2 linked regions of the Cricetulus griseus genome follow. Each later gene encodes a partner of the first gene's protein in a complex. Links are inferred from orthologs where the notes say so. Each region holds a gene or a part of one and is shown in the gene's direction. Other genes may lie near its edges.

The links.
Region 2: the proteins of Agt (region 1) and Dpp3 are in contact, whole or in part, in a crystal structure (PDB 5E2Q), measured with the Homo sapiens proteins. The link is inferred for Cricetulus griseus from reciprocal best matches to the Homo sapiens genes AGT and DPP3. Residues at the interface, in NP_001369746.2 of Homo sapiens: Asp25, Arg26, Val27, Tyr28, Ile29, His30, Pro31, Phe32; in NP_005691.2 of Homo sapiens: Phe109, Glu316, Tyr318, Glu329, Phe381, Gly385, Ile386, Pro387, Ala388, Gly389, Ile390, Asn391, Ile392, Asn394, Arg399, Val412, Leu413, Val415, Ala416, Phe443, Val447, His450, His455, Glu507, Glu508, Asn545, Arg548, Leu552, Glu555, Phe556.

What each region holds. Positions count from the first base shown.
Region 1 is NC_048596.1:201,289,955-201,297,592, reverse strand, and holds the start of Agt (angiotensinogen), read left to right. Parts: upstream 1-3,140; 5' UTR 3,141-3,165; coding exon 3,166-3,177; intron 3,178-7,638. UniProt on the Homo sapiens protein: Essential component of the renin-angiotensin system (RAS), a potent regulator of blood pressure, body fluid and electrolyte homeostasis.
Region 2 is NC_048596.1:54,357,479-54,364,552, forward strand, and holds part of Dpp3 (dipeptidyl peptidase 3), read left to right. Parts: intron 1-419; 5' UTR 420-429; coding exon 430-699; intron 700-4,200; coding exon 4,201-4,290; intron 4,291-4,783; coding exon 4,784-4,921; intron 4,922-5,608; coding exon 5,609-5,683; intron 5,684-6,789; coding exon 6,790-6,883; intron 6,884-7,074. UniProt on the Homo sapiens protein: Cleaves and degrades bioactive peptides, including angiotensin, Leu-enkephalin and Met-enkephalin. Also cleaves Arg-Arg-beta-naphthylamide (in vitro).

The sequences.
Region 1 (7,638 bases):
ATAATGCATAGTCCTTACCCAAATCCACCCCAACACCATAAATAAACAAAAAGCCAAAACAAGCAACAGAAATAAAGACAAAATACAACCCTGACTCTGGAGCCCCTAATAGCATCTATCCTCATCACATACAAATATGTATGCATGCATAAATCACACATAATGCAAACCAAACAGATATATATATGCACAAACCACAAAATGTTGTGCAATAATCCTCTGTACACTGTGAATATGTATTATTCTCATTAGTTAATAAAGAAGCTGATTGTCCTATAGTAAGGCAGGGTAAAGTTTGGCAGGACAATAAAACTGAGGATACTGGGATGAAGAAGGGCAGAGTGAGAGTGTCGCCAGCAGATGCAGAGAGAGCAAGATGGGCACGCCATACTGTGAAAAGGTACCAAGCCACGTGGCAAAGCATAGATAAAGAAAAAGAGGTTAATTTAAGTGTAAGAGTTAGCTAGTACCAAGCCTGAGCTATCAGCCGAGCATTTATAATTTATATTGTCTCCGAGGCAGTTATTTGGGAGCAGGGAGATGGGACAAGAAACCTCTGTCTACATGTGACACCCAATGAAAGGTATGTACAAGCCACACAGACATGAAATCACAGAAGTGCACGCATGCAACAATCATACATACATGCCTGTGGGTACAAACTACATACATGCACACACATACATGCACAGCTTTTCTCGAAGACAAAAATACGCATTTGATTCCCTCCTGGTGCAAGTCTCTCAACTGTACATGCCCTGAACTTGGAATGCAGGAAGCTCCAGCAGTCGAGAGCAGGAATATGTGTGTGCCTGTGTGTGCTCTGAGAGCGGGCCTGTGGTTTCATGGGCTTTGTAAACCATAGTGAGACCCTGGAGCTAGGAGAACTGCAGTACCTGTCAGGCATGGTGTGGAGCACATGTGATTTCATTCCATGAGTGAGTATTGAGGAACACAAGCCAAGGGATAACACTACCCCTGGATGTAAGGCTTAGAGAAATTCCTGGTCATAAAGAGGTCTGGGAACACACTGTGGAGGGATGGGAGGGACACTTGGTGTGAGCTGGCACATGCTTATGTGGTGAGGGAAGCTGGGTGAAACCAGTACGAATGTCCTAGGATACAGACAGAGGGGGTTCTGCACCCTCTCACCCTCCGTCCTAAAGAGTACAGGAACAAGGGACCATGAGGACTGCAGGCTACTCAGTAACCCCTCAGAGCAACTAGAAAGAGTCTACACAGCAAGCCTGGCCCAGGAGTTCTGTTGCCTAAGTTGCCACCATAGGGGCAGTTGCTCCAGCTGGGATGGAGGCAATGAAAAGCCAGAGATGACTGTCAGAAAGGTGGCTCATGCTCAGAAAACCTTAGTAGCAAGGGCTACCCACTCTCAGTACAGTGTGCCTCCACAACAGGCTTGTCCCTGCTTCCTCACGTTTCACAATTAGCCAGAAATGCTCCAGCGACTCACTTTGCCTCTGTTGGCTGGTTTATTATGCGACCCACAGAAACAGCCAGATGAGGGGCTACTAAGGGCAAGAGGCAGGACAGTTGTGGCACAGGACTTCATCACATTGGGAAACATATCCTCATATGCATTCTTCAGCTTGGAAGTTCTCCAGACCCCAGGGCATAGGGGCCTCTGCATATAGGATTGATGACATCCTTGTCATCACTTGTCAACTCCATCTCAGCCCTTCTCTCTTTGCAGGGGACTGAGGCTGGACATTCCTTTTGATTATATGGCCAGACTCTCCAGTCACTCGTCCTATCCTGAAGTGATCTTGAGGTGTCCAACTACAAAAAGATGTTCAATGTCTGAAGATCCAGTCTTCTAGGGTCAGGAACTAAGAAGAAAGACCTTTCTATCCCTATCTTCAGGAACTCTACTCTTGTGTCCCCAGCCCAGGTCTCCCTGCTAAGCTCCAAAGCTACTAAGGCATTCATACACTCCTCAGGAAAATCTGCCCACAGCTGGCCTTTCCTGAGCTCTTACTCCCTGCACATCCCCCTGGGCTTCTAGCACTGACTTCTTCAGTCCTCAGAGTGTAGGCATTCACGGCTGCAGCCTTGATGCCCTCCTGCAGTTGGCCTCCAACTTATACCTTCTTGTAGCCACTTTACTTCCATATCCAGTGAAAGTCACTCTCCAGCCCCCAGCTCAGATCCCATCATGCCCTGTATCATGCATCTGTTTCCTTCTGAGCCAGGGACTGCTCTGCCAACACCCCCTCTTTCTGCCTTTTCTTTCCCATGCCTTGTCTGGGTGGAGGTAGGTTCTGCCTGTGTCTACTCTATGGCCAAGAGATAGCTTGAGGTTCTGGGTTGTTGTGACAATGCAAGCTTGCCGCCATCTATGGTGGACTGTATGGGGGACCCCTCTGGTAGGCCTTCTCCCTCTGGGCTTGTTGTGTCCTCATCTGTCCCCACACTCTCACTCTTTCTTGGTATCCCACTAACCTCATCCTCTGAAACCCTGTCTTCCCATCCGTTCTCTACACTCGCCAAGAGTAACACTCCAAAAACTCCACCCCCCAAAAACAGACAGCTCCTGTCTAGAAGCCCAGAACATTTTGTTTCAATATGGCTGCACCACAGTTGGAATTTCCCAGCCTCCCCAGATGTGCTAGAAGGTTCCAGAAGGCACTTCCTATTGATGGTATGTATCCACAGCCCATTAGAAGCCCTTGTGCAGAACAGGCAACTAACGCAATTACAGCTGTTCAAGGTTGTACATCCTAAGAGCCTCTGGTGACGTGAGGCTCATTCCCCTGCAGGAGGGCCCCTTCCTGGCAGGTCCTGAGAGGCTTACAAGTGCATCATGAGAGGCTTGAATCCCAAGCCTGTATGGCTGGCTTCAGTTTGTCACAACACAGCTAGTCCTGTGACTATGGCCCTGACTCCAAGGAACTGGGGTAAATGTGTAACTGAACTCAGCGCCAATCCATTTTGCTGGTGCTCATCTGTCACCAGGGCTTCCTGGAAGGGGCCCAAAGGAACATCGCCCTGGCCTTGGTCCATCTTGGCTAAGCTTGGATTCCCATGGCCTCCCGACCTGGATCCTCCCCCAGCCTCTGTACAGAGTAGCTTGGGAATAGATCCACCTCCCACCCCTCCAGTATAAATAAGCCTGTGCAGCTCACCAGGGAATAGCTGTGCTTGTCTGGGATGGAGTTAAAGGTAAGTAGAGCCTTTCAGTTCTTTTCTGGTGCTTCATGGGGTCCTGCTGGGCAGTAGCTGAGCTATGGGTGGGAAGAGGAGGCAGGACGTGGGCAGACGCTGTAAAGGGCTGGCTGGCAATCGTTCTGGAGTGAGGAGCCAGAAGTCTGTGGTGGCAGGTGCTTCAGGAGACATGACCACTGACCATGTCTCTTCTCCTGAAAGGCTAGGTATCTAGGTAGGCTGTCCTCTGTTGCTTGTCACTCATTCTGGGCTCATGGGGAATAGCTTGTCTTCAGTCAGGCAGGATAGCCAGGTCTTCTGCCTCCTGTGAGCCCAGCAGGGTCCTCAGAGGCAGGAGGATTTACACTGGATCAGCACTAGGGTGGCCAAGTCCACGGGACCTATTCCAGCTTGAAGGGAGAACAAGATTTCATTGTTCAGTCTGCAAGCAGCAAGAAGGGACAAGTCCCAGGTCATCTCAAGTAGTATCTCTGTCCAGGCTCAGTGCTGGGGTCTGTGTCTTCTGGCTTCGGAGCCTCAACTTGCCCCTCTGTAAACAGGTCTCATCATGGCTCTAAGGTTCTCTAAGTCTGGGTATGTTAGAAGGGCTCAGTAACGTAGAAATTACTGATAATGTCAGGCTAAGCAGAAAGTTAGCTCCTTTATTTGAACTCACAGAGTTCTGTCTGCCTCTGCTTCCTGAGTGCATTGCCACACCCAGCCCAATGTATGTGTGTATTTATGTGTATGTGGCATGTGAGTGCATGTCTGCATGTGTGGTGTCTGTCTGTCTGTGTATATGTGAGAGAGTGCATATGTGCTGGGAGGGAGAGATGGGTTCAGCAGCCCATGATCCCAGATGGAGACCAGAGGAAGACATTGGGTGTCCTGACTGTTACTCTCCTCCTTATTCCCTTGAGATAGGGTCCCCCACTGAGGTTGGGGATAGGCTGGCACCCCAGAGATCACCCTGTCTCCACCCTCTGCAACCCTGGAATCACAGCTGTATGTGGTCATGACTGGCTTTTTACAAGGGTTCAGGGGACTTGAACTCAGATCTTCCCATTTGTGCAACAAACTGCTCTCAGTTGCTGAACATCTTCCTAGCCTTGCCATTTCCTTATTTCTTTTAAGCGGCAATGTGCACTGTACCTAAATGTCACTCATGGAATCAAGGGTCATGTCTAAGTTGTGGCTGTGTCCTGGTGCAGGTCACCAGACTTGTCTGTTCCTCTATAAAATAGCATTAGTAACTTTAGCTGACAGCTCCCTACTGAGGATCTGCCTCTCCCATTGACCTTAGGAAGGTGGGCTAACCTGTGGACTTGCCGCACTCAGGTTCATGTGGAAGGCAGACCAGTGGGGCACATAATAAATACACAGCTGCAGGAGACAGGGTGCTTCTGGTGGCTTTAGGGAAGGAGGAGGTGACAGAGGTGCCTAGGGAGCCTGGGGCAGGCGTTGAATGATGAAGATGAGCTGATGACATAAGAGCACTGAAAACACAACCTGTCCATGACAGGACAGGCAACATAGCCCTGAGAAGCCACAGGACAGGGACACAGAGAAGTGGCTGATTGGGAGGGAACAGGAGGGGTCTAGAACTCCTCTGTTCTCAGGACTTGATGCAAACTGACTTAGGATGAACTTGGATGGCAGCAGGTTACAGCTGAGAGCAAATAACCAGATTCACCTAAGAACAGCAGTGGCGTGCTTCCTGGGACAGCGACCATGACATAGCTCCCAAGACAGCACCCATTCACAGGAATAGCAATATGGGAGGGACTTCGTGTACCCACATGGGCCATCCTACAACTTGGGAGCCTAAGGCAGGTTCTGCCCCTACTGTGCCTTGGTTTATGATAGCACAGGTGGGCACAGTCGCTCTTCTGTGTAGGAGGGTCCAATGGGCACAGGCAGAGTTTTCCACTCTGCTTTTTCAAACCACAAGACTTCCTTTGAGAATGGTGGGTGGAGCCAGATGTGTGCACCAGGAGGAGGAGGTGCTGGAGGGTCAGAAGCCAAAGGTCATCTGACCAGCGGGATAACCCGAGCAGAGCAAAGAGCACCTTGCCTGTATGTGGAAGATTTTTATGTGCAGCCCAGGCAGGTGCCATGACCTAAGTGTGGAAGGCTAGGGTGACCTCGTAGCTTTGCAACATCATAATGGCATTCTGAGATCATTAACTTATAAAGGGAAAAGTTTATTTTGGCTTATGGTGCTGGAGTTACAGGGCAGCTTCAGACAGACCCATTGCTCTGGACCTGCTGGGGGTATCAGGTAGCAATGGCAGGAACATTTGGCCAAGCAAGCTGCTCCCCATGTAGCTAGGAAGAAAAACCACTAAAGAGGGAAAAACAAATACAAAGGTCCTGCAACCCCTCTTAATGGTGCACCCCACTGACCTCAGGCCCTCCCAACAGGCCCGACACCCTAATGTCTACAGCACCTTCAACAGAACAATGGTGTGCCTTAAGATTTTCACATAGGGACCTTGGGGGTGGTTTGTCAAGCACCATGGAAGATGGAAGGTGGAAGATTGTATGTGTGAAGGTGAAGCAGGGGAAATGAAGGCTTCAAGGTGACCTCCAGTCAGGGCTGAGGCACCGCCTAGCAGCGGTGGCCATGGACAAATGAGGTACGAAGTTGGAAGTCACATGGCAGGATGGTTGTTTCTATAGAAACAAGCCCATGTGGTCTACATGGTCAGAACTGAATGATGGATAGAATTTACCCCACCCCCCAGGATCAGAGGACTAAGATGTAGGGTTTTCACAGTCAGCTCAAGAACCTTCCTCTGGGAGCCCAGGCTGACTGTATGTACTATCTATGATAGCTGAGGCTGGAGCAGGGCTGAGGTTCAAGGGAAATGGGCATCCAGCTCACTGGGTGCCTCCACGCCCCCCTGGTCCATGGCTGGGCAGGGCCCCAAGCACTGTTGGTGCCTCATAGCCATCTGGGCAGTTGACAAATCAATTCCTGACTTACTGTAGACTACTGAAGCCAACCTTGGGTAGGCAGGCCAATTGTGGATTTTCTGTAGTCACTGTGGGATCCAGCCTGCCTGTAGCATATGACAGGTGTGAAAGACCTGAGCTTGGGCAAGGCTTTGGCACCTAATTCTGTCCACATGCTAGGACCTCACAGACACTAAAAACAATCGTAGGGTATACCCATGTGGGTATGAGGGCTCCACATGTAGTTCTCCAGGGATGAATTCATAGCCATTGTCACCTGCATGTCTAGTTCTGTGCCACAGCCTAGTATGATAACAAAAAGAAGCCCAAGGCCAAGCCATGGTCAGAGCTGTGTCTTAAGGCCTCTGCCATTCGCTTTCAGGTTCACTCCTCTACCTGTGACTCTGATAGTTACCTGTGTTCCTGTATCCTGATGTCCCTGTGTGTGTGTGTGTGTGTGTGTGTGTGTGTGTGTGTGTGTGTACACACAAGTATGTGCAAGTGTGTTCACATGTGTATAGAGGTTGTATGACAACCTTGAGTGTCATCTCAGAATGGTGTCTACCTCCTTTGAGACACAGTCTCTCGTTGGCTTAGAGCTCACTTATTAGGCTAGACTGATTAGCCAGAGAAACCCAGGGAGCCACCTCTCTCCACCAAACCCCAGGAATCTACCTGTCTCACTGCCTGAGTGCTGGGATTTCATGCATATGCCAACTCACCTGGGGGATTCAACTTAACCCCTCATGCTTGCAATAGAAGTACTTCACCAACTGATCTATAACCCTGTCCCTAGATGCCTTCTTTGTGTAAGAACATCAGTCAGTTTACATCAGGCCCTACTGTAAGGGCCTCATTTTATCTTAGTCCTGTCTTTAAAGGCCCTATGTCTAAATACAGTCACATTCTGATGAGTGGGGTGGAGCAGGCCTGTAATCCCAGCTACTAGGGAGGCCAAAGCAGGAGGAGCAGAAGTTCAAGGCTGCCTAGAATATTGAGTGATTTCAAGGTTAGCCAGGACAGCTTAAGAAAGGCCAAAAGAGGGCTAGAGATGTAGCTCATTTGGTAGAATGCTTTCCTAGCACGCACAAGAGCTAGGGTGGACCCCTGCCCGCTTGTAAACTAGGAGTGGTGGGATGTGCTATAATGCAAGCACTCGGAGGTGGAGGCAGGAGGATCAGAACTTCAAAGTCATCCTAATCTATACATAGTGAGTTCAAGACCAGCTGGAGCTACATGAAACCCTGTTTTTGTTTGTTTGTTTGTTTGTTTTTTGTTTTTTTAAGTAAAATGTCTGGGGATGGAATTCGATAGTATAGCACTTACCTAACATGAAAGAGGCCCTGGATTCCATCCTCAAATAGTCACTTTCCAGGGCCCTGGTGGTGGAAATGATAATTTGTAAATCTGGGGAGCAATTCAGTGTATGACAGCATGTTTTCCACGTGGATCATCCTGAGTTTTCCATGGATCTTTGACTACATTCCTTCTGGGCCATCTATGACAGCCATGCTTTTGGTT
Region 2 (7,074 bases), about 150 Mb from region 1:
AGGCACCTGCCTTGATCAGCAGTGATGGGCGGAGGTATTGAGGTTCTGAACCAAGAGTCATGGAAGTCTGAGAAGGTGGAGGTGAGTGAGACAGAGAGTGGCCTGCCCTGGAGGTCAGCATCGAGGGTTTATTCGGCAGATTCCTTCCTTGTATGCTCAGGAAAAAAAAGTCTTGGCATCTTTGAGCCTCAGTTTCCCCATCTATAAGATGAGGTAGTTGGATACAGACATTAAGTCTGAGAGGCCAAAGGCACAAACTGGCCCACTAAGTATTTGAGTCTTTGAATTTCAGCACAGCAGGTGAGTGGGTGCTACTGGATCGCTCCCTCCTGGGGTTTTGGGTGAAGTTAGCTCGTGAGAGTTCAGAACAGATGCGAAGGTGGTGTGTTCTCTGAGATGGCTGTTATGTGTCCTTTCAGGACAGGACCCATGGCAGATACCCAGTACATCCTGCCCAATGACATTGGTGTGTCTAGCCTGGACTGCCGTGAGGCCTTCCGCCTGCTGTCACCCACAGAGCGCCTGTATGCCCATCACCTGTCTAGGGCTGCTTGGTATGGAGGCCTGGCTGTGCTGCTCCAGACCTCCCCTGAAGCCCCCTACATCTATGCTCTGCTTAGCCGTCTCTTCCGTGCCCAAGACCCTGACCAACTTCGACAACATGCCCTGGCTGAGGGCCTTACCGAAGAAGAGTATCAGGTCAGTTCTCACAGGCCAGCCTGGTGTTCGGGGGTGGGGGGTGGGGGGGGCTGGCTCTAGAAGGGTGTGAAGGACCAGGATCAAGGGACACAGTTCTCTCTCTAACTAGGTAGAAGACTAAAGGCTGCTAGCTCAAACATGCATGCTCTCTCTCTCTCTCTCTCTCTCTCTCTCTCTCTCTCTCTCTCATGAATGCACATACATATACCTATCTGTAGCCTCAGGCTTGTCATCTGTAGAGTATGAATGTGGTCTGCCCTTAGTATTGTGGTGACCTACTTAGTGCCTGCTTCAAGATGCAGGGAGACCTGCCGGGAGTTGGTGGCGCATGCCTTTAATCCCAGCACTTGGGAGGCAGAGGCAGGTGGATCTCTGTGAGTTTGAGACCAACCTGGTCTACAAGAGCTAGTTTCAGGACAACCTCCAAAGCCACAGGGAAACCCTGTCTCGAAAAACAAAAAACAAACAAACAAACAAAAAAGATGCAGGGAGACAAGACAAGCATGGTGGCACACACATTAATTCTAGAGGCTGAGGTGGAACGATTGTTGTGAGTTTGAGGCCAGCCTAGGTTCCAGAGTTCTCAGCAATCTGCAGTGATTGTACAAAGGAATTAGCAGCTGATATTGAAGGTCAGAAAGGTGGCCTGGGTGGAAATTAGGAGGTTTGAGTTACTCTTCTGCATTGTGAGGAACCTAGGTAGTTTGATCTGTTTGTGCCCTAGCTCTTGTCTGTGGATGTATTAATCAAATAACACACTACTTCTTAGTGTAATGCAGCAGTTCAGAAACATACAAAACACAAAAAATTACACATGCTCATTGTCTCTCCAGAGGTAGCTACTATGGCTAGTGCATTGGATACTGATACTTGTATGTGCACAGTATATTTTTTTAACTTAATTTTTTGTTTTGTTTTTCGAGACAAGGTTTCTCTGTATTGTTTTGGAGGCTGTCCTGGAACTTGCTCTGGAGACCAGGCTGGCCTTGAACTCACAGAGATCCACTTGCCTCTGCCTTCCGAGTGCTGGGATTAAAGGCATGTGCCACCAACGCCCAGCTTAACTTACTTTTTCTTTCTTTTCTTTTTTTTTTTTTTTTTTGTTTTTCGAGACAGGGTTTCTCTGTGGCTTTGGAGGCTGACCTAGAACTAGGTCTTGTAGACCAGGTTGGTCTCGAACTCATAGAGATCCCGAGTTCTGGGATTAAAGCATGTGTCACCACCACCCGGCTTTAGCTTACTTTTTAAAATGTAAAATGACAGCACGTGTGTCATTGTGTGCACACGTGCAAGTATTGAACATGTAGATAGTAGAAGAGAAGTTACTCCCTTGAAACAGGATCTCTCTCTGTCTCTCTTTCTGGTTTTTCTGAGACAGGGTTTCTCTGTGTATCTTTGGTTTTTTTTTTTTTTTTTTTGGTTTTTGAGACAGGGTTTCTCTGTGGCTTTGGAGGCTGTCCTGGAACTAGCTCTTGCAGACCAGGCTGGTCTCGAATTCACAGAGATCCGCCTGCCTCTGCCTTCCAAGTACTGGGATTAAAGGCATGCACCACCAACATCCAGGCAGGATCTCCCTCTTTTACAAAGAGTTATTTAGTTTTATTGTGTGCATATGTGTGTGTGTGTGTGTGTGTGTGTGTGTCTGCTATGAGTTATAAGTGCTCACAGAAGCAAGAGGCATGGGATCCACCTGACGTGGGTATTGGGAACCAAACTTGTGTCCTCTGGGAGAACTCTTAATTACTGAGTCATCTCTCCAGCCCACAGAGAGGGTCTCATGTTGAGTCCGAAGCTTGTTGTTCTGTCTAGGCTGACTGACTATAAAGCTCCCAGGGTAGCCTGTGTACACGCCCACCTTCCAGTGCTGAGTTCACATGCCTGCATGGCCATGCATGACTGTTTTTTTGTGGGTGCTGGGTATTTAAACGCAGGTCCTCATGCTTGTACAGCAAGTGATGTACTGAACCAACCCCCAGCCCCATTTTACCTTTTACATCATGTTCTCGGTGTCCTGCATACTGCCCTTTTTGCAGGTCTCTGTGTCCTGGAGAACTTCCATAGAGTGTATATTAATTCATTTCCCTTTATTGGCTGTGAAGCACTCTACAGCAGTGTACACTGTAATCAGATGAGTCCTTTTTTTTAAAAAATGCTGGACGTTTTAGATGGTTTCTCCTTCTTCTTACAATGCTCATCCTTGTACAAGTGGGTTAAGTAGAAACTATTTGTAGAAAATCTAGCTTTTAGGTTGAAGGTTCTGTACATTTATAATGCTCTGATACTGTTAAATTATCTTGTAAGACCATGTGTGGCGGTGTTCGTGTAGTGGCCATGGTCACCTTTAATCTTAACACTCAGGAGTCCGAGGTAGGAGGATCTCCGTGAGTTCCTGATCTACATATTGAATTGTAGACCAGCCAGGGCTAGATAGTGAGACCCTTTCTTCAAATAAAATGTCTTTGAAAAAATGCTTCAACATGTTATGTTCCCACCAGGAGTGTATGAGGCTGGGACCTGGTTTTCTATAAGGAAAAGGATCAGATTGTTTTTTTTCTGAGCCAAGCTTATTGTTTCTTCACCGCCTTTGAACTTTGGGAAGAGTTAATCTCTGTGGAAATGCCTGTAAATGGGAAGTACTACCCAAGTGTCAACTATTTTCAGTGGGATTCTTTTGTTCCAAAGTAGCAGAAACTCAGTACAAAGTGGCTTAAAGAAAGCATTCTAGCGGGGTAGTATTGGCGCATGCCTTTAATTCCAGCACTTGGGAAGCAGAGGCAGGTAGATCTCTTAGTTTGAGCCCAGCCTGGTCTACAGAGTGAATTCCAGGGCAGCCAGTGTTGTACAGAGAAACCCTGTATTGAAAAAGAGGGAGAGAGAATGAATTATGAGCTTAGAATTATGAGCCTAGTATGGTGGCATACACCTGTGATCCCAGCATTTAGGGGGCAGAGGCAGGCGGATTTCTGTGAATTCCAGAACAGCCAGGGCTACCCAATGACACCCTGTCTCCAAAATAAACAAACAAATAAATAAACGAAAAGCAAGAGAATTGTTAGCTCACATAATTTCAAGGTCCAGGGCTAGAAGAAGCTTCAGGTGCAGCTGGATTCAGTTGTTCAGTCTATCTTGAGATGGGATCTTCATCTCTTAGTGTTCTCTAATCATTCCAGTAATAGAACATCTAGGTCTGGTGATGTTGGCCAGCTTGACTGTTTCGTTCAGTCTATAGTAAGAGGAGGTGATTCTCTGACTAGCCTAGCCAGCTTGTGTGCCTACCCTTGGAACGGTGGGCACCCTAGGTGTGTTTGGTAGCCCTGAAACTAATTTGTCTACATGGTGGAGTGGGTCAGACTGGGGCCTCCTAGGATCAGGGCTCTACCCTGAGATTTCCCAGCCTCTTCCATACTGGTATGCCCTGGTGTTCTGACTTGACATTTTCCTGAAAGCAAAAGGGAGCTGTGCTTCTCAGGTGTTTGATGCTATGTTGCCTCCACTCCCTAGGCATTCCTGGTCTATGCTGCCGGGGTCTACTCCAACATGGGCAACTATAAGTCCTTTGGTGACACCAAGTTTGTTCCTAACCTGCCCAAGGTGAGTTGGGGAGGGTGACAAGTAGGCAGTGGTGGGCTGTGGTTGGAGTATGAAGAAGGGACCCTGGTTGGAGTCAAAGGTGCAGAGTCAAGCCATAACCCTGTCAATGGGACACTATGACTATAGTGTCACTCAGCATCCTCATGCATGGCAGACACACACACGTAAAGGAAAAGTGTTTCAGACTGTTGATCTGAGAGTCAAACAAGGACAGGTTGTGTAAATGTGAACTGTTAGATGGCCACTGGTCATCACTGGGAATAGGTGGAGCCCTAGGGTTCCTCAGATGTTAATGCCTGTAGAAGTGGCCTGGTAATATTGAATGCAGTGTCTGATGGAGAAGGTCTGTGGTAGCCTGAGGCTCAGCTCTTCTCAGGGCTTGGTGATGCTGTTGTTCCTGGGATATGCTATGAGGTCTTAGGTTCAAGTAGAGGGAGGTTCTGAAGGTTTGAAGGACCTGTGACCAGGCCAATGACTTCCTTTTTCCTTGCAGGAAAAGTTGGAACGTGTGATCCTGGGGAGTAAGGCTGCCCAGCAGCAGCCAGAAGAAGTTAGGGATCTCTGGCAAACCTGTGGGGAGCTTATGTTCTCCCTGGAGCCAAGGCTTCGACACCTTGGACTGGGGAAGGAGGTGAGTCCTGCCATCCAAGAGCTCAGTAGAGTGGAGGGCATCTTTGAGGCTGCTTGGTAAAAATGGAAAGGCAGCCGATGGGAGGCAGGGGACTCTTCCTCTACTCTCTAGCTAAAGCCATTTGGCACCACAGGCCTACTTGTCATCTGTAAAATGGGAAGAGAACTGGATGGAATGTTTCCAGAATGTTCTTCCAGGTCTGTCAAGCCAGGGTGTAGATACATGAAGCGGGGGGGGGCGAGAAAGAACTGGGAGGGAATGATGTAGGGGGCTAGGGTCCCTGCCTCTAGGGATTGCTTAGGTTGCATGGGAAGAGGCTGTGGCAAGGCCTAGGGGTGAGCCAGCTAGAGAGGATGGGTGGGAGCCCAGCTGGAGGAAAGGCATGGTGGCACACACCTGTAATCCCAGCCCTCAGGAGGTTGAGTCAAGATGGTTGTGAGTGAGAGGGCCAGTGTGGGCTGCATAGTGAGACCCCGTCTCACAGGAAAACACATTAAAAAATGTCTAAGATGATAATCTGTTTTACAACTCCTCCCCCTGGAAATAGATGGGAGAGGCGCTAGGAGGAGATGCAGAGATCCTGGCAAGGAAGCCATCAGCTGATGTGTAGGGTCCCAGCTGAGCCTTCAGTAACTCTGCCCTCTTGTCTCCCCACCCACCTCCTATCTTACCGTCTCTTCCCAACAGGGAGTTACCACCTATTTCTCTGGGAATTGTACCATGGAAGATGCTAAGCTGGCCCAGGACTTTCTGGACTCTCAGGTTTGGGAATTGGCAATTTGGGATACTAGTTTGTTGTGGCTCCTTGTCCCTGCCCCTTCACCATGGGCACCTGTTCTTGGGTCCCAGCTTGAACTCAAAAGACATATGGGCACTTTGGATCCTTGAAGTGGGAAAATACTTAAGGGATCTTGTGTGTGAGGTAAGCCTCTGCCAGTCAGGAAGACAAAGATGTTACATGTGTCCCAGGAGCCATTTCCACACTTCCAAGATGGGGCCCCCGGAGCCTGGCTGCCCAGCCACTTACCAGCTGTGTGGCTGTTTCCCATGTCCGTCTCACACAGCTGAGAGTTGGCTGAGGTGGCTCCATGTCTCACACGGCTAAGCTGGTGCTTAGTGAAAGTTATCACTCATGGGGCTGGTGAATGCCTCAGGGGGTGAAGGTGCTTGCCAATAAGCCCAATGACGTGAGTTTGATCCTCTGGGATCTACATGGTGGAAGGAGAGAACTAATTCCTGAAATTATTCTGAGACCTTCATGCAAGCACTGTGGCACATGTGTGGACCATTTTTTTTTTTTTAATTAAAAATTGGTGTGTGTGTGTGTGTGTGTGTGCACGCGCGCGCGACTGAGTGTATGTAATATGCGCCACCTTTATTCAGGAGCCCTTGGCTATCCTGGGACTGGAGTTAGAGATGGTTGTGAGCCACTGTGTAGGTGCTGGGAACCAAACCTGGGTCCTCTGCAAAAGCAGTGCAGTAAGCACTTGTAACTTTTGGCCCCAGCATATTATTTCAGTTTAGTTTAGTTTTTTGAGACAAGGTGTCACTCTGTAGACCAGGCTGGCCTTGAACACAGATATCTGCCAGCTTCTGCCTCCTGAGTGTTGGAATTGAAGGCATGCACTACTGTATGTATGTATGTGACTATGCACATATGTATCTATTTTTTAATTAAATTTATTTTTTTAAAGTTAGCATTTAGTGTGTGGAGCACAGCAAGACAGTCATCCCAGGCTGGCCTGGAATGACTCCTGGTAGGCTTGGAAAGGTTCCTAAGAGAAACCCCAGCCTACTTTGCCTCACTGCTGTCCATGGGATGGCCACTCCTCCACTCGTCCCTCAAACCCTGCTCTGGTCTTTTCCAGAATCTCAGTGCATACAACACACGGCTCTTCAAGGTGGTCGACCAGGAAGGAAAGTCCCACTATGAGGTGCGACTGGCTTCAGTGCTCAACACAGGTGCGCTCAGGCCCTAATGGATGATGTCAGCCACCTAATGACCCAGGTGGCTCAGGGCAACAGCCCACCTCCTCCAGCAGAAAGAGTCCTTTGGTACCAGTTGTTTCTTCATACAACAAAAGAGTGGCTCTGGACTTTGTGGAGTCCTTTATTAATGTGAACCAATACTTGTGAGTGGACAAGGCACCAGG